2 linked regions of the Sus scrofa genome follow. The protein of the gene in region 2 interacts with the protein of the main gene of each other region in a biochemical or structural test. Links are inferred from orthologs where the notes say so. Each region holds a gene or a part of one and is shown on either strand. Other genes may lie near its edges.

What was found.
Region 1: the proteins of PKD1 (region 2) and HDAC9 form a complex in vitro, tested with the Homo sapiens proteins (2 studies listed by BioGRID, with this or other methods). The link is inferred for Sus scrofa from reciprocal best matches to the Homo sapiens genes PKD1 and HDAC9.

The regions. Positions count from the first base shown.
Region 1 is NC_010451.4:87,754,908-87,763,691, forward strand, and holds part of HDAC9 (histone deacetylase 9), read left to right. Parts: intron 1-2,160; coding exon 2,161-2,402; intron 2,403-7,596; coding exon 7,597-7,762; intron 7,763-8,752; coding exon 8,753-8,784. UniProt on the Homo sapiens protein: Responsible for the deacetylation of lysine residues on the N-terminal part of the core histones (H2A, H2B, H3 and H4).
Region 2 is NC_010445.4:39,870,687-39,879,470, reverse strand, and holds part of PKD1 (polycystin-1), read right to left. Parts: coding exon 8,476-8,784; intron 7,609-8,475; coding exon 7,477-7,608; intron 7,293-7,476; coding exon 7,117-7,292; intron 6,899-7,116; coding exon 6,765-6,898; intron 6,193-6,764; coding exon 2,573-6,192; intron 2,377-2,572; coding exon 2,227-2,376; intron 1,239-2,226; coding exon 1,095-1,238; intron 997-1,094; coding exon 717-996; intron 647-716; coding exon 433-646; intron 351-432; coding exon 179-350; intron 1-178. UniProt on the Homo sapiens protein: Component of a heteromeric calcium-permeable ion channel formed by PKD1 and PKD2 that is activated by interaction between PKD1 and a Wnt family member, such as WNT3A and WNT9B. Both PKD1 and PKD2 are required for channel activity.

The sequences.
Region 1 (8,784 bases), on a different chromosome or scaffold from region 2:
GCAGTCCACCCCTACATGCCCACACACACACATATGCCTGTATGTGCACACAGATGATAAACAGGACATTAATGTTTCATTTAGTATTTGAAGCCTTAACTTCCATAGACAGGATTTCTGTTAGGCTTTCTTGATTGCTGAAAATAGCTCTTATGTCTACATGGGATATTAACTTTGTGGTTCCCAACCTAGAATCTATAAATTTAAGTTACTCAGAGTAGTAGTCAGAGCATTAGATGCAATTTGGAAAAATATGGAAAAGTAGAAGGGGGAAAATTATTCATATTTCCACCCCAAATATCACCTTATTTTGTTCTCTAGCTCACCAGGCTTTGCGAATAGAATCCAAAGACTAATACCATTAAATCCCCAATAAAATATATGCTCTATGAAGGCTAGAATTTTTTTGTCATGGGTTCTGGAGTAAAACAGAAACATTTAGAATGAACTTGAGAATCTTAAGGTTTTCAATAAATGTATACTGACTAAATTAAATGATATTTAAAGAGTTTTATCATAGTGTATATGTCACTTTTATCATTGTTCTTTCACTTAATGTTTTAACTGCATTTTTCATGTTGCCATAAACATTATTTTTAATGATTGCATATTTTTCCACCTAATGGATGTGACATATTTTACTGAACATTTCCTTGTAGTAGGTGATTTCAATTAACTTAATAATACTTGAGTAAACAATATGACCTTGAACTGTTTCTTCCTCTAGTAGTATCTCCTTAAGATATATTCCTAGAGTTGGCAAACTTGAATCAAATGGTTGAAATATTTAATGCCTTTTGATACATATCACCAAATTATTATATCACATACTGCTTTCTTGAAAGTTTTAAACCAGTTGGCAGTGCCATTTGCAATACATAATTTTCTACTTAGTCGTATGTTTATCTTATGCAAGGGGATGTTGTTGTACCTACACATCTGCCTATATGTGAATCATATGTATATATAATTAGCAAATGATCCCTGATAGTGACTTAAAGTATGCATTTCTTTAATAGTGAAGGTGGACTGTTTTAGTTGTTTAGCTATATTGTTTTCTTGTTTTAAATTTTTTCTAGAAGTTTTAGTGTTTTTCCCCCCTAATATTTAATAGAAATCATATACAGCTATATTTTCATACTTGATCCTCATATTTTTGTTTGGTTAGCCCCACATTATTGATGCTTTATTTAAACCTATAGGAAATTTCCATTTTTACATAATTAAAAAAAAACCCATAAAGCATTTATTGAGGAATGTGCTATATGTTGTCAGTCATTTGAGTGGGTGATCTCATTTAATCCTTTTAACAACTTTATTTTATGACTGTAATGGTAATTATCTCCATTTTACATATGAGGGAACTGAGACCTAGAGAACTTAAAATACAGGGTAACAACATACTTTCTGACACAGTTGTGGGAACAGGCAGATTTAGAACAGAGGTTGAAAATTGGCAGCCTGCATGTCACAGTCGACTTACAGAATCTTTTTTTTTTTTTTTTTTTTTTGGTTCCCATGGTGTTACGTTTTAAAAAATATTTCAAGTGGAAAATTAGGTGACTCCTGTCTACACTGGGTCTATATATTCTTTATTCTTATCATTTCCCACATTTTAGCATGCATGCAGATTTGTACTTTTTCTTTGCTAGTCCAATAACCAAATAAATACATTATGTTAAAAGCTTTACTTCATAAGGCATATGTCTTATAATATATCTTCTGACTTTGGTTACAAACAAAATTGTTTGCAAGTGCAAAAATTTTGTTGGGTTAGAAGTTTTTTGTATAATGTACATTTTTTTCCTCAATAGAGTTGCACTTGTTTGTCCTAAGTTGACTTGAATTTGGCGAGAGGTCCAGTAGAATAAGTTTTGTATCAATATTTCTTTGGCATCATCTCTTTGAAAAAGGGAGATGTGGAAGATTTCATGGCAGAGTACAAATTGCAGGCTAAAATTAGCATATGGTTCATTTTATCAAAACTGATATACAGAAGACCTTTTATCATCATTTTGAAAAAAAGGAATAGATTTGTTGAGGTAAAATTTGTTGAATGGAGGATAGTGACCTTCACTTTTTGCTTCTAAGTCAGCGTGATAATTTTCTATCCTCTGTCACTCTCTCACTCTTTTTTTTTCTTTCTTTCTGTGTCTCCAGTGGATGTGAAGTCAGAGGTTCCTGTGGGCCTGGAGCCCATCTCGCCTTTAGACCTAAGGACAGACCTCAGGATGATGATGCCTGTGGTGGACCCTGTTGTCCGTGAGAAGCAACTGCAGCAGGAGTTATTGCTCATTCAGCAACAGCAGCAAATCCAGAAGCAGCTCTTGATTGCAGAGTTTCAGAAACAGCATGAGAACTTGACACGGCAGCATCAGGCTCAACTTCAGGAGCACATCAAGGTAGCAAACGTTTCTTTGTCTCTGACCTTTGACTCAGGGAGCCTGTGCCATAACATGGGCATAGGAGGAGCACGGGGGGCTGTTCCACTGTGATAAGATGTGGATGCATGGCTGGAAGGGCACTGTGGTTGTACTAATTAGAGGCACAGTTCTAACACAGTTATGGGAACAGGCAGATTTAGAGCAGAGGTTGAAAATTGGGTAAGTAGTAGGAAACCTGGCAAAAAAACCTGGCAAGAAAACCCTGCTTTTCTTCTCGGAGAGGGGCCTCTATACTCTTTTATCCTTTAGTTTACAGCATCTGTGGTAGGGAATAGTAACTTTCCCACCCTTTTTTAGATTTTTCTTCCTCATGATTTTGTCCATTTGCCTAATCTGCTCTCCACCAAGATGATCCATGAGCTTGGAAGGAGCCATTTTCTATTTCTAAAGGATCTGCGTAGTATTTACCAGAGAGGATAAATTAGTCACATTATGTGAAGACAGAGCCTTTTTCTTTTCTTTTTTTCTGGCTATGTCCACAGCTTATGGAAGTTCCCAGGGCAGGAATTGATCTCCTAATACAGCAGCAATCCAAGCTACTGCAGTGACGACACCAGATTTTTAACCTGCTGCAGCACAAGGGAACTCCAAGAGCCTTTTTCTGTTTCTTTTATTTTGTCTTTTTAGGGCCCCACCCATGGCATATGGGAGTTCCCAGGCTAGGGGTCTGATCAGAGCTGTAGCTGCTGGCTTACACCACAGCCACAGCCACAGCAACGCAGGATCTGAGCCATGTCTGCAACCTACACCACAGCTCTCGGCAACGCTGGATACTTAACCCACTGAGTGAGGCCAGGGATCGAACCTGCATCCTCATGGATGCTAGTCAGATTCGTTTTCGCTGAGCCATGGCAGAAACTCCAAGCGTTTTTCTATTTTTTATTTTTGTCTTTTGTCTGTAAGTGGATGTTCTGAATATGTCTTAACCTTCCTTATGGAAAAGACCTCATAATGTATATACATATAAAATAATAACATAATGAAAAGCTCAATAGAATTATATATAAAGAAGCTGGTGCAGATATTTTCAGTGTTTTCATATAAGTCTAAGAGACTATAGATAAGAATTTATTGAAAGAATTTTGGGAGTAGTTAACAATTTGAGACCCAAATTGTTTAAATTATTCTAGGAGAATATGTCCATATCCCAGAATTTTTTGATGGACTATATTATTATCAGATCATTCTAAATGTGTCTGTGTATCTGTTTATTCTCTTGTATCTTGAGATAAATATTACTTCATTTTTTTATGTCTTTCAGCATCTCCCCCCAACACACACCCAGGGCTACAGCTCTGGCATATGGGAGTTCCTGGGCCAGGGGTTGAATCCAAGCTACAGCTGCAACACCTATGCCATAGCTGTGGCAATTCTGGATCCTTAACTTGGACCTAGCCTGGGATGGAAACCATGCCACCCAGAGACAATGCCAGATACTTAAGCCCACTGCAACATAGTGGGAACTTCTTAAAAAAGATATTTGAAACAAAGCTATTTTGGTTTGACTTAGTGGATGTTTAATTTGAATTTATTATGACAGTAATATAAAGCCCCAGATATTTATAAGTTCTTTTTTTTTCTTTTTGGCCACCCTGCAGCATATGGAGTTCCCAGGCCAGGGATCAGATCTGAGCTGCAGTTGCAACATAAGCCACACCTAGGGCAATGCTGGATCCTTAATGCTCTGATCCAGGCCAGGGATTGAACTTGCATCCCAGTGATCCCAAGAAACTGCCGATCTCATTGTGCCACAGCAGGAACTCCATAATAAAAAGTGCATTTTTATGTCCAATTCCTTCAAAAATGACTTAACTGAATGCTAATTTATTAATAAAATATTAATTATTAAAATAAATCTATTAATTTAATGAATAATTTTGAGTTTATTAATAAATTTATGAATAAAATAAATTATGTGTTATATCATATCTTACTATATTATATTATAGGCACTTGCTCTTTTACCCACTTGCATATCAAATACAAGCACATTTGTGTGGGGTAATATAAATAACTAATTATGTTAATATTATATAATTTTACCACATTGATATTATAGCATCTCAGAAGGTAAAAATGCTATTTCTTCCTTATGTTTCTTATTCTCTATTTCCTTAGCCTAGAAGGCCTATTTTATCTAATTTTCAAAAAAAGCTTCTTTGACACCTGATGTAAATTTTTTCTCCTTTTAGTGAACTTGACTAAAAGAACGCTTGCGATTTTTTGCTCTGTAAAAGACCTTAAAATAAGAGTAAGGATTTTGGTTTGAGACCCACATGGAATCATGGCTATATTTTACAGTATAGGATACTTTGATTTAGTTCATAGACTTATTTTTGAATGATTCTGAAACATTATTATTTGAAACAGTAATAGATGTCTAGCTTTTCTTCTTCATTCATTCTGGGCATGTTAGGATGACAATGGCGACAAATGGGTAAAACTTATATTCTTCACCATACTTTAAGATTTAAGTAGCTATCTGGTTCATTCTGCTGTGGTGTGCAAGTTGTATTGCCCTAATATAGGGCAATATTGATAAGTGTCAGATTTAGATATTTCTTTTCATTTATATTTGATGCCTTTTGTAGTTGTAAAGATCAGCATAAACATTTTTAAAGTAATTAATTGTTTGAGTTTATTCAAAAGTTAATAGAAGCAAATTGGTAATTGTTAATTTGCCCCAAACAAGGTAGGATATAGCAGGTCTACTGACATCTGGAAGATAGTATAAAAAGGGGAAAAGAAAAATGATTCTGCGATAACTAAAAGCAAAACTTAGATTTTGGATTTTTTTTTTGTCTTTTTGCCATTTCTTGGGCCACTCCCACGGCATATGAAGGTTCCAGGCTAGGGGTCGAATCGGAGCTGTAGCCACCTGCCTATGCCAGAGCCACCGCAACTTGGGATCCGAGCCACGTGTCTGCGACCTACTCCACAGCTCACAGCAACGCCAGATTCTTAACCCACTGAGTAAGGCCAGGGATCGAACCCACAACTTCATGGCTCCTAGTCGGATTTGTTAACCACTGAGCCACAACAGGAACTCCTGGATTGATTTTTTAAAGTAATAATAAGTTGTTTTCTTTTAAGTTTAAGGAGTTCTTTTGGTTTAATTTTTAAAATTTTTATTGTTTTGCATTTTTTATGAGCAAGGCTAAAAGTTGGTGCATTTAACATTCATTTACATTTTGTTTTTATGAGGAAGGCATAGTATGATGCTTTACTTATATTTGTGTTTATATTGGCCTAAGATTCATCTTAGGCTTCTATAGTCTACATCTGTTGAATTAGATGCTATTATCCTATTTTCCCAGCCAGTAATCTGAGGCAGAGAGAAATGCTGTAACCTGTTCCAGACCACACAGCCAGTAAATGGATGCTCCAGTATTTGTAGCTTGTCTGCCTCCAAAGCACCTAATTGTTCCTGCCTCTGTCTTGCACTGGAATATATTAAACTAGAGGAGTGAAGTTTTGTTTCTTTTTTCTTTTCAATTTCATTCCTCCAATCTTCCATAATGAATAGTAGCGATGGAAATTAAATTGTATGTTTTTCTAGACTCCAAAGAGAGATTAACATTCAGTTCCATTGGGGCTTTGAGTGAATCTATGACCAACCCCAATATCTATATAGAATTAACATTTAAGGCAAAGTTGAAGCAGAATTATGAAATTTTTGGTTAGCAGAATTTGGAAATTTTTGGAGTATCTAGAAACACCCATTAAGAGACTAGTAGGTCAAATCCAAAATGCTCCAGATCTTAATATGAAAAGTAACCAGAAATGCTTCTAACCCTATCCTTCTGGGATGAGGAAAGCTGTTGTGTTTGACATATAGAGTTGGCTATCTGTTGCTCCAGAGTGACTCAGATGCCATTCCACATAACTTTTTATTCTTATTTTGTTACTTTTCAGTGTCAATTTCAGAGTTCTAGGCATCTAATATAAACAGCAAATTACACTAACTCCATTAGTATTGAGTTTAAAATAGTACTAGTAAGCAAAGTTAGTATAATTCAAACTTACAACCTAAATTTCATATGTATTATGAACATGATGTATGAGGGAGATTATTTCTCTGTCTTACATATGAGGAACCAGTGCTTTGAGGAGTGTAGTAAGTTGTCTATATCTCATATCTAGTAATGTCAGAGCCTGGTAGAACTCAGAGTCTTTACTTACTCCTCAGGGGGAACACTTACTATTAATCATAAATGTCTATTTCTCAGTCTGAGAGAAATCTGACATCTCAACATGGTTATTGAGAATGCTTCACATTCTTGTTGTACATTATGTGGAAGTGAATTCAAGGAATTCAGACAGCCAGACAATAGTACATCAAAGCATAGTCTTATGGGAGTGAATTCTTCTTGATCAGTTTCTCTAATCTGCAGAGCTTTGTGTGAACCAACCAGACTTTTGCTATTTTGAGAGAAAAGCTTGCTATGGATATATGGAATGCATTCATCTATTGAAAACTTCCTCTGTAGGATTTTGAAATTTTTAGCATTCATTTTATTTCTGGTAGATTTCCCCCAAATTAACTAAAATCGCACTATCCTATTCAGTTTATGTTCAAACCATTTCTCAGAATAAGAAGTAAAGATTTCAGTTGTTTTTAATATTGTGAAAGACTTGGGAAGTCCTGCCTTTCTTTGCCTGTGTCATATATTTCAGATGTATAAAGAAAAGTCACTAAGGAACTGAAGATCTGAATGAATTTGGTAACATTTTGATAGGGCGATGTAGGTGATGAAGCTGCCTAAAAACTTTCTTGTTAATGACTATATATATCAAGTCTGTTGAGATTAACTCTGATGGAAAATAATATAGCAAAGGGAATGTGTGTGTGTGTGTGTGTGTGTGTGTGTATATATATATATATAGTCATATATATATATGAATGACTGGGTCACTTTTCTGTATAGCAGAAATTGGCACAACATTGTAAATCAACTATCCTCCAATAAAAACTTTTTTTTTCCCAAAAAAACACCATCTATGGCACTAGTTGCTTGTCTTTAGATTTCAGTAGTACACAAAAAAGTGGGTAAACTGTAAATACAAATAAGTTCCAATTTCAATTTTGGACTTTGATGACTATGAAGCCTTAAAGAAATTGCACACTCTCATGTCTTTCTCTTCTCGCAAGTTGCAACAGGAACTTCTAGCCATAAAACAGCAACAAGAACTCCTAGAAAAGGAGCAGAAACTGGAGCAGCAGAGGCAAGAACAGGAAGTAGAGAGGCATCGCAGAGAACAGCAGCTTCCTCCTCTCAGAGGCAAAGATAGAGGACGAGAAAGTAAGAGGCACCAGGGTAAAAGATGGATCTCTTCCCTCATCTTTAGCTGATCGTCATTCAGAAAAGAGCCTGATAAAGAGCGGAATTAAACTTGTCAAAATTGTCTGTGTTTAAGTAAAACGATAAATTATGAACCCAAATGTAAAGCTTTGACATTCACATGTCAGCTCTCTACATTCAGTTTATGGGCATCTCCAAAAGTAAACATAGCATTGTTTGGCAAAGATACCAATTTCCCTTGTTTTGAACCTTAAAAATAATGTTATACTAAGGCAATATAGCTCTGCCATTCTGTTCAATAATAAACTTACTTCCACATTACTCCATGCCTTCCTCCTGCTCAAGTAATAATTACTTTTTAAGTCAAGCCTTGTTTCCATTTAGTTTTCAAGTAACCTAGGTAGTATTAAGATTTAAGGGAGAACACTTGTTTTGTTTTGTTTTGTTTTGTTTTAACTATCCACAAGAGGGAGACAGATCCAAATAATTCTCCTGTATGAGGTCAGCTGAAAATCAGGTCTTAGCAAGGTTTAAAATGTGATGACTTGAACTGGAATTGTCAGCGGATATTTATTTGTTTGATGCTCAAAAGAGCTTTTATAAAAAGTTAGTTTTTCAAACTAGCAACTTAGAAGACCTCATTTTAATATGTTTTATCACTTATGATCTCCCAAGATTCTTGACTTTTTAAAGGCAGTGTTTTGTTCCTCAGCAGTATTTTTTAAACCTTAGGAAAAAATTAGTATTAATTCTGGGAATCCCCCTTCTGCAAAAGCAATTAAAGAAATCATTGAAGCTCTTTTGAAAATTGGCAGTTGAAGCAGTAGTTACAAAACATTACTCTGTCACTTTCTAAAGCCTGTTTAGACTCTCATTTTGTTTTTAATAGGAAAACTTCATATGCTGTGACCAGTGCTGTTACTCCTTAATTTTTACTAAATATTCCAGAGGCATGAAAGGACAGAACCCCAAATCACCATCTGTTTCTGTATGTGTGTGTTTCAGGGGCAGTGGCAAGTACAGAAGTAAAGCAGAAG
Region 2 (8,784 bases):
TCCGCCCGCAGGGCAGCGCTAGTGCACAGCCCTGGCAGCACCTCGAGGCCCATCTCACCGCCAGGATGCCCCGCAGGGGCGGTGGTGGAGCGGGGGAGGGCCGCAAGAGGACAGCAGAGCGCCTTCTGGGCCCGCCCGGCACCGGGCCGGGCGAGCAAGGGGCTCCCAGGGCACCGACCTCGTTGAGGACGGTGATGAGGGCCAGCGAGTACTCGATGACGTGCTGGGGGTCGGCCTGCCGCAGCAGCCCGGGCAGCATGGTCTCCGTGAGGCCATACAGCCAGGCCGTGAGGTCCGGGGGGCGGCCAGGAGGGTCTCCGGGAGGCTCCGGCAGGGTGATGGCCAGAGACCTGCGGGCCGAGGTGGTGGGTGAACAGGTGGGGATCCCCTCCCCACCCCAACCGGGCACTGCTCGCACAGGCCCAGGCTTACCTGTTGAGGGCGACCACGGCGGCGCCCAGCTGGTCCTGCACAACCACCGCCAGGCCCACCGTGAAGTGAGGCGCAAAGCCGGGTGGCAGCACGGCCCCATAGGTGGAGAGGCTGCCCTTGTAGACGCAGAACTCCTCGCAGTGGCCCCGGCGACAGCGCCGCAGCAGCAGGGCGTAGAGCAGAGGGGCGCCCGCATCCTCAGCATCCTGCCAGCCTGGGGGCCCCCACAGTGTCAGCAGGGTCCCCGCGTGCCCCCCGCAACGGGGCCCCAGGGCCATACTCACCCCCACACTCGAAGTGCACCTTGGTCGTGAGTGCACGCACGGCTTCCAGAGGGAAGAGGCGGCAGGAGCCCCCCAGCGGGGGCCGGTTGGGGGACAGGCGGATGGAGGCACAGCCCTGCTCCTCCCCCGCACGGCCCAGCACCGTGAGCGTGAAGATGTAGCCCTCGCCATCCCGCAACACGCCGCGCCGCACCACCAGCCGCATGCCCGCGTTCCCCGTGGATGTGGTCGTCTCGTCCAGCACCAGGGTCTCGTTGCTGAAGGTGCGCGCGGCCCAGCGCTGAAGGGCACAGAGACCGTGGTGCTCGGGGCAGGTTCCCCTACCGCTGCACTGCACGCCCCCCAACCCCCACCCCCGCCAAGGCCCACCCTGCTCACCCCTCTTGTAGAGCCCCCGCTGCAGCTGTCACAGCGGCCCTCCAGGTACACGTAGGAGCTGCGGCTCACTGCGTACACCGCCTGCGCCTTGCAGGACACGCACTCCAAGGATACGATGGGCACCCGGCCCCGCCGGATCAGCACCTGGGGAGTGGGCGGGACTTCAGGAGCCACACGCACCCTGTCAGGAGCCCAGGTAGGGGCTCTGCTGCTGAGGCCCAGGCCCTCAAGTGTGCTGGGCGGTGGGTAGGGAGTGGGACCCAAAGAAGAGCAGGGCCTCGGCCCCCTGCACCTGCTGCTCCTGGGCCCAGCCAGCCGGAAGCCCAGGCTTCCCAGGGATCGAGCTCCCAGCCTCCACCCAGTATGTTCCTGCGGTTTGTGTCTCCCAGGCTTGGAGGAGGGAGCAGAGTCCATGACGGGCTAGTTTCTGCAGCAGCCCAGGCCGGACCTGGGCCTGGTACCCAGCAGGCACCGAGAGGGGCCGTGAGCGGACAGACAAGTGAAGGCGCCAAGGCACGTGTGTTCACAGGACGAGGCCGGCTGGGCCCTCGGCTGTCGGTGGGGTGGGGCTGCACTGGCCCCAGATGGCCCCTCTGGGCAGGACCCCTCCCTGGGCAGCCCAGCTGTGAGCGGCCTGGTACCGGGATGGACACTCCACCCGAGGCGCCAGAGGGCCTGGTCCACCTCTCCCTTCCCAGCAGCAGGCGTGGTGCCACTGAGGGAAGTGTATGCAGTCCCGACCCGCCTGGCCAGTCTCGGGAGCGCGTGTGTGCGTGTGCACCCACACAGGCGTGAGAACAGCATCCCCGCTGCCCCGTTCAGAAGGGGACACTGCTCCAAGGATGAGCCGCGTCTCCTGGCCGCGGGCCTTTGGTGCTGTGAGACTGGTGTACTGCTCACCCCTGTGAGGGTCCAGGCTGTGCCTGAGGCTCGGGTGCAGCTGCAGCCCTCTTGGGAGGATGCAATGCCCAAGGCACGCCGCCTAAAAGCGGACTTCTATCAAAGGTGGTAACTAAGAACCCAGAGCCGCCAGAAGCACCAGAACACAGAGAACCTTAACAAGGGGTGCTCGGTGCTATGTGCAGGCAGCACCCCCACCTAGGACCTGTGGCACTGCCTGGGCGGTACCCACCGTCTGGCTGGTGGCTTCCTCACGCCGGCCGGCCTTCCACACGGTCAGGTTGAAGGTGTACTCCACGCCAGCCCGCAGGCGCTCCCGAGGGATGGTGACCACGCTGCTCCCACGGGGCCCAAAGTTGAGCACACAGCCGCCAGCCTCACCCTGCAGCCAGTGATCAGGTAAGGGGTGAGACCCCGCGCCCTGCCTCCAAGGAGAGCCCAGCCCAGGGGCTGACGGGGGGCCCCCTCCCCTGGCTGAGATCAGAGCCACCAGGCAGACCCCAGCCCCCACTGGCTCACTCACGGCCACGATGAAGCGAACCCAGGAGGATGGCCGCCCGCCCCGCCATGCAGCTGACCTGGGTCGAGGCCACGCAGGCCCAATGGAAGTTGAGCGGCGTCTGGTCGCCGTCCTCCAGGTTGGGGTCGTAGGACTTGCTCCCGTCCAGCACCAGGTCCTGCGTGTCGGACCACACACGGTAGGAGCCGCCCTCGACGATGGGCACCAGGCGCTCAGGGGCCACTGTCACGTTGGCCTGGACGCTCTGGGCCAGCGGTGTGTCGCCAAATGACACCACGAACACAAAGCAGTAGTGGCCCACGGGCAGCGCCAGCCGGGGCACCACCAGCTGGGGCCGGCTCACATCCACGCCGGGCAGGGTCAGCCGAGCCGGGCGGCTGGGGCGCTGGCAGCTGGCGGTGCGGTACACCTCCCAGCGGTACTCGGTCTGGTAGGAGACGCAGTTGCGCAGGTCGACGTGGGCCTCCAGGTAGTTGCGCTGGGAGCGCCGCATGAGCACCTGCGGGGGCAGGGCCACATCCACCTCCGGCTCCCTGCAGGCCAGCACATGGACGGTGACCGTGGCCTGCGCCACGAAGAAGCTCACCAGGTTGGAGGCATTCACCTCCACGCGGTAGTCCCCGGGCTGCAGGTAGGAGTGGGCAGCCCAGGGCACGTCTGTGTCCTCCACCAGGGCTCCGTCCCCGAAGTCCCAGCGGTAGGCCACGCGCCGGGGGCTGGGGCTCGTGACCGCCTCGAAACGGGCCGAGCGGTTGGTGAAGCAGCGGTCACCGCGCAACGCCACGTGCTGGATCACGTCCTGAACCTCAACCACGAGCGTGCGGTTCATGCCGCCCAGCTCGTTGAAGGCGCGCACGTGGATCTCCAGCAGCCCCGCGGCCACGGGCGTGTAGGTGACGTCGCGGCCTGACAGGATGACCAGCGAGTCCCCCTGGACCTTCTGCAAGGAGAAGTACCAGGCGTAGGCGACACGGGAGCCCCGCTGTACCCGGGCCGTGAAGTTCCTCTCGGCGCCCGTGGCGAAGGCCGGCTCGCAGCAGTCGGGGACCTGGAGCCCACCCACGGCCTCCAGCACCGAGACGCGCACCTGCGCCTGCGCCCGGCTCACGTGGTTCTCGGCCTGGACGCTCACCGTGTAGTCCCCAACCTGGGGGAAGCTGCGGGAGAAGTGGGGCCCGGGGAGCGCCTCCGGGCCAGCCCCGCTGACCTGCAGGTGTAAGCTGACCACCGAGCCGGTGGCCAGCAGGATCTGAAAGTGGACCAGCTGCCCAGGCTCCACCACCTTCCTGCTGCTCCACAGCACCAGGCCCACGACGGGCTCCTCCGCTGTGAGATTGTGTGTGGCGACAACCCAACTGACTGCGTTGGAGGCGTTGAGCTGAATGGAGAAGGTGCCGGCATCGGGGAAGACCACGGCAACGTGCTGGCCGTGCCTGCTGCCACCCGGCACGGTCCAGCACCAGCTCACCTCGGTGCCCGAGGCCAGATGCCCCCAGAGAGGGACGCTGGAGCCAGTCGCCACGAAGCTGCGGTCCAGTTCACCGACCCGGATGCTGAGACCGCTCACGGGCACCTGCACAGCCACTTCAACGGTGGCATTGGCCGAGCCCAGCTGGTTCTTGGCCGTGACCGTGACCAGGTGCAGGCCAGGGGTGGAAAAGGTATAGGTGGTGGAGGGCTCCAGGGTCTCCCAGCTCAGCCCTTCTTCTGGGGACCAGGAGTAAGTGATGCTACTGCCGCCGGCCAGCTCGGCACGGAGCGCGACGCTTGTGTGGACAGCGGCTGGGTTTGGGGAGGCGGCCGCGGCCAGCCACCCCACAGGCTCCAAAAATTCCACGGTGCGGTTGGCCGAGGTGCTGCCCAGCATGTTGGTGGCCCGCAGCTGGACGAGATAGGTGCCCGCCTCGAGCACAGTGAGCGAGAAGGTTTTGCCGCTGCCGGCCAGGGCCGTCCCGCCGTCCCGCTGAGCTGTCCAGCTGTAGGAGATGTTGGTACCGTCCCTGACCATGGCCTGCAGCTGCAGCGTGTGGTTGGTGGGGAAGCAGCAGCTGCCGCCACCGCCCACCACCTGCAGTCCCTCTATGTGCTGCAAGACGTAGACGAAGATGCTGTCCTGGGCAGCGCCCACCTCGTTCTCGGCCGTCACGATGATGTTGAAGGTGCCCACGGAGCGGAAGGTGTAGGAGATGGTGGGGCCCCCAGGGATGGGTGTGCAGCGGTCGCAGAGGACCCAGGAGTAGTGCACGTCGCTGCCCGCCTCCAGCCAGGTGCCGAAGCTCACGCTGCCGTTCAGCGGCACCACCGTGCGGCTGGCGTTGACGCTGAGGCCCCGCACGCGTCGCTGCACCGTGACGTTCAGCCGGGCCTCCCCCCGGCTCACGTCGTTCCAGCCGGCCACCCGGACTGCAAAGGAGCCTGTGCTGTCATAGGCGTGGGTGACGGCGGGACCCTCGAGGCGCCCGCCATCCCCCAGCTCCCACAGGTAGGCGGCAGGGTGCCCGCGGCCCACCACCGAGAAGAGGTAGGGCTGCCCCAGCTCCAGCACGTGGGAGCCGTTGACCTCGATGCCTGTGAGGTCCACGGGCTCCTGCACCTCCACGAGCGCCGAGTCATTGGCGGACGAGATATTGTTGGACACGGCAACGGTCACCAGGTGGGGACCCGGGGCCCGGTAGGTAAAGGTGGCCTCGGGGCCCCCGACGCAGGCGGTAATGTCCTCAGTGCCAAAGTCCCAGGCGTAGTGGTAGGGGAAGAGGGGCCAGGCATGGGCCACCAGCCGGGCCTCGTCCCCGAGCCGCACGAACTGCCGCTCGGGCCACAGGGTGACATTGCCCACCTCGGGCTCCACACAGACGCTGCGGAAGTAGTGCGCCTTATTCACGCGGCTTGACAGGACCAGCGCCAGGGGGAATGTGCCGCTGCGCGTGAAGTTGTGCGTCACGGTCGGGTCCCCCCGGACGGTCGTGTTGGACGAGCCGTCCCCGAAGGTCCAGTCGAAGGTGTAGTGGGCAGGGTCGCCGGTGACGTGGGCTGTGAGCCGGGCGTGGGGCTGGGGGGGGATGCAGGCTGTGGGGTCGATCCACAGCACCTCCAGGACAAAGACCTGCACAGGCAGGCTCTGGGCCAGGTGGCCAGCGGGGCTGGACGCGCCCACGGTCACCGTGCAGTTCTGTGCCCGCAGGTACACGTGCTCCACCATGGCCTCAGGGCCTGAGAGCACTGTGCCGTCCCCCATGTCGAAGGTCCACGTGACGTTGTCACCCCCATCCAGGATGGCACGGACCACCACAGGCGCACCCTGCTCCACGGCCGGGCTCAGGCTCACGGTCAGGCCACGGAGCTCCTCGAAGACCCGGACGCTGACCCCTGCCACCACGCTGCTGACAGTGTTGTTGACCTGCAGGAGGATTGGGTACACGCCCCTCGAGGCGAATGTATGGTTGACCTCCGGCTGGGGCTGTGTCACAGCTGGGGAACCGTCCCCAAAGTCCCATGTGTACAGGACGCCCCCGGGCAAGGGCAGTGGGTGTGGGAAGAAGGTGACAGGCCAACCAGCCACCAAGACTCGGCTACCCATGGCCACGGCCACAATAGGCAGGGCGGCACGCACGCTCACGGGCACCTGCTGCGTCAGATTCTCGAAGGCGTTGGACACGAGCAGGGTCAGGTTGTATTCACCTAGTGGACAGTCACGGAACGGGGACGGAATCAGGGCCGCTGCAGCCACCTGCTCGGCAAAACCCTGTCTGACCTGGTGCTGGGGGCGTGGGCACCTGGGGGAGGAGGGCAAAGCAGGGTCCCAGCCCAAGAGTGAAGGGGGCAGGCCCCTGGACCCCGCCCTGAGCCGGTCACAGGGGGCGAGATGATGGGCTGAGGTGGGAAGGAGATGGAGAGTAGGGGTCTCCAGGGCTGCGTGAGCTTGGGGTAACAGGGCAGCACAGACACAGGCTGAGGTGACAGGGGCGCTGTCTAATCTGCATTTCTGTGGGCAAGGCTTCTGGAATTTTAAAAATGATGAAGAGGAACCTCCCCTTCTCCCCCAAAAAAGGCTCAAGGGAGGAGACAGGAGGGGAGAGAAGAGCACAGCTTCCGGCCGGCAGACTCGAATCGTGGGTCTCAGAGGCCCAGTCCACCCTTCAGCCCTGGAAGCCTCTTCCCCCTAGTGAGGGCCCCGGCCACCGGCCTGGACTGGATCAAGGGGCCGGGCTGGCCCAAGCTGGAGGCAGGCAGGCAGCAAGCCTGCCACTCACCTGGGTCGGTGTAGGTGTGTGTGACATTGTGCTCCACCAGCACCTGGGCCACCGTGGGGTCTGGGACCTGGAAGGACTCGTTGTATGGAGGCTTGAACTGGCCAATCACCTGCTCCCCATCGCCAAAGGTCCACCTGCCAGAGCAACAGGCAGGCAGTGAGCAGGCTGGGGGATGAGTGGGAAGAGCTGCCACTTTCCCTGTCCCTCCTTTCAGGATCCCACCGGCCCGGCTTCAATCCTGCAGCCCTTCCCCAGGTCCTGGCACACGCTGGCAGGCGGGGAGGAAGCTGGGGGCACCAGCCCCGCCCAGGCTCGGCCAGCTCCTGCTCCCCACCGGGCCCAGCACGCTTACAGAAAGACCACCTCCACGGCTGAGTCCACCAGCACCTCGGCTGCCAGAGCCAGCGTGGCATTGAGGGGCAGCACGGGTGGCACTGCTGACACCCGCAGGCCCCGCATCTTATGCATCCGCTCCACCGTGACATTGTAGTTGACAGTCACATTGCTCACGTGGTTGGAGGCCGTCAGCTGTGGAGACAGGAGGCAGTGAGCAGGCCACCAGCGGGCCAGAAGGCAACGTGGACACAGCCCCACCCCGCACTCACCCAGAGCCGCCACGGGGTCCTCGAGAGCAAAGCAGAACAGAAGGCACAGGGGAGCGGTGACCTCCCAACACCACCCCCAGCCCCCGCCCTGCCCCCGCCCCGCCCACCGAGAGCTTGAAGATGGCGGCGCTCTGGTAGATGACGTTGAAGACCACATTGTGGAAGGTCAGGGACTGCTTGTCGTCGATGGTCCAGCGGAAGACCACGTCCGAGCCGGCCTCCACCGCGGGGCTGTACCTCTGCAGGAAGGGCGCGGTGTCAGCTGGCCGCGCCCCAGTCCCCGCCCAGGGCCTTCTGAGGGCCAACTCTGCCGTCCACCCGCATGCACCCACCTGGACCCGCATGCGCCCGCCTGGACCCGCCATGCGCCCGCCTGGACCCGCATGCGCCCGCCTGGACCCGCTCCCACTGCGGCTCCCTGGGACAGGCCAGGCCACCGTGCGTTCGGGGGCTGGGGCACGGCTGGGGCGGCCACACAATATGGGGCCGAGCTTGGGTCTGGTTACGCCTCGGCCTCTCTGCACCTCCGTTTCCTCATCTGGGAAGGAGCCCTAGTACCAGTGACAAAAGCCAGCCCACCTCGGTCCGAGCAGCCCTACCCCAGGGCCCCTTAGCTGGTCAGCACAGCGCCATCTACCCATGTCACCTGGTAGAACAAGGGTGACCAGGGAAAGCCAGGCAGGGGACACAGCTGCCCCAATGGGCCCTGTGCCAAGCTGCAGAGCCAGTGGCTGCCTTGTGCAGGGTGGGTATCCCCAGGACGGGAAGAGCCCCTCCCAGAGTGGCCCCTGCAGTGATGCCTCCAAAACTGCTCACTTGAGCCAGGTAGGAACAATGCAGCGGCCCTGAACACACCCAGGATCAGTGACATCAGAAGTGGGTGAAGAACCCAACACTGGATCCAGGAAATGAGAGGGCAGAAGGGAGTTTGCCAAGCAGCTGTGCTTTAGAGATGACTTTCCAGGAGTTGAGGAATTAACCAACAGTCCGAGGAGCCACCTGACAGGACGTGCCCAGAGACGGACCCCGAGCCCATGGTCCTGGCAGCCAGGCGCTTGCTCGCTGGGGAGGGGCCGCCTCTGCACAGCACCTGGTCCCACACTCACCACCAGGACGCCCTGCAGCACACGGGCCTCAGGGCTGGGCGTGGCACGGAGGCCGCGGATGGGCTCCTCGGCCTTCACCTGCAGGCTGAGGTTGGCCCGGCCGGCACCATTCTCCACCACGACGTCCACCTCGTGCTCGCCCTCGTTGAGCCTGGGCAGCACCAGCACCGAGAACAGGGTGGCATTAACCTCGCAGTCGCAGCCAGGCACCAGGGCAGCCACCATGATGGGGCAGGTGGCCTCGAAGGGGGCGCTGACGTTGCCCCCAGGCCAGCGCGCCATGGCCGTGGCGTTGGCGCCGGAGTCCAC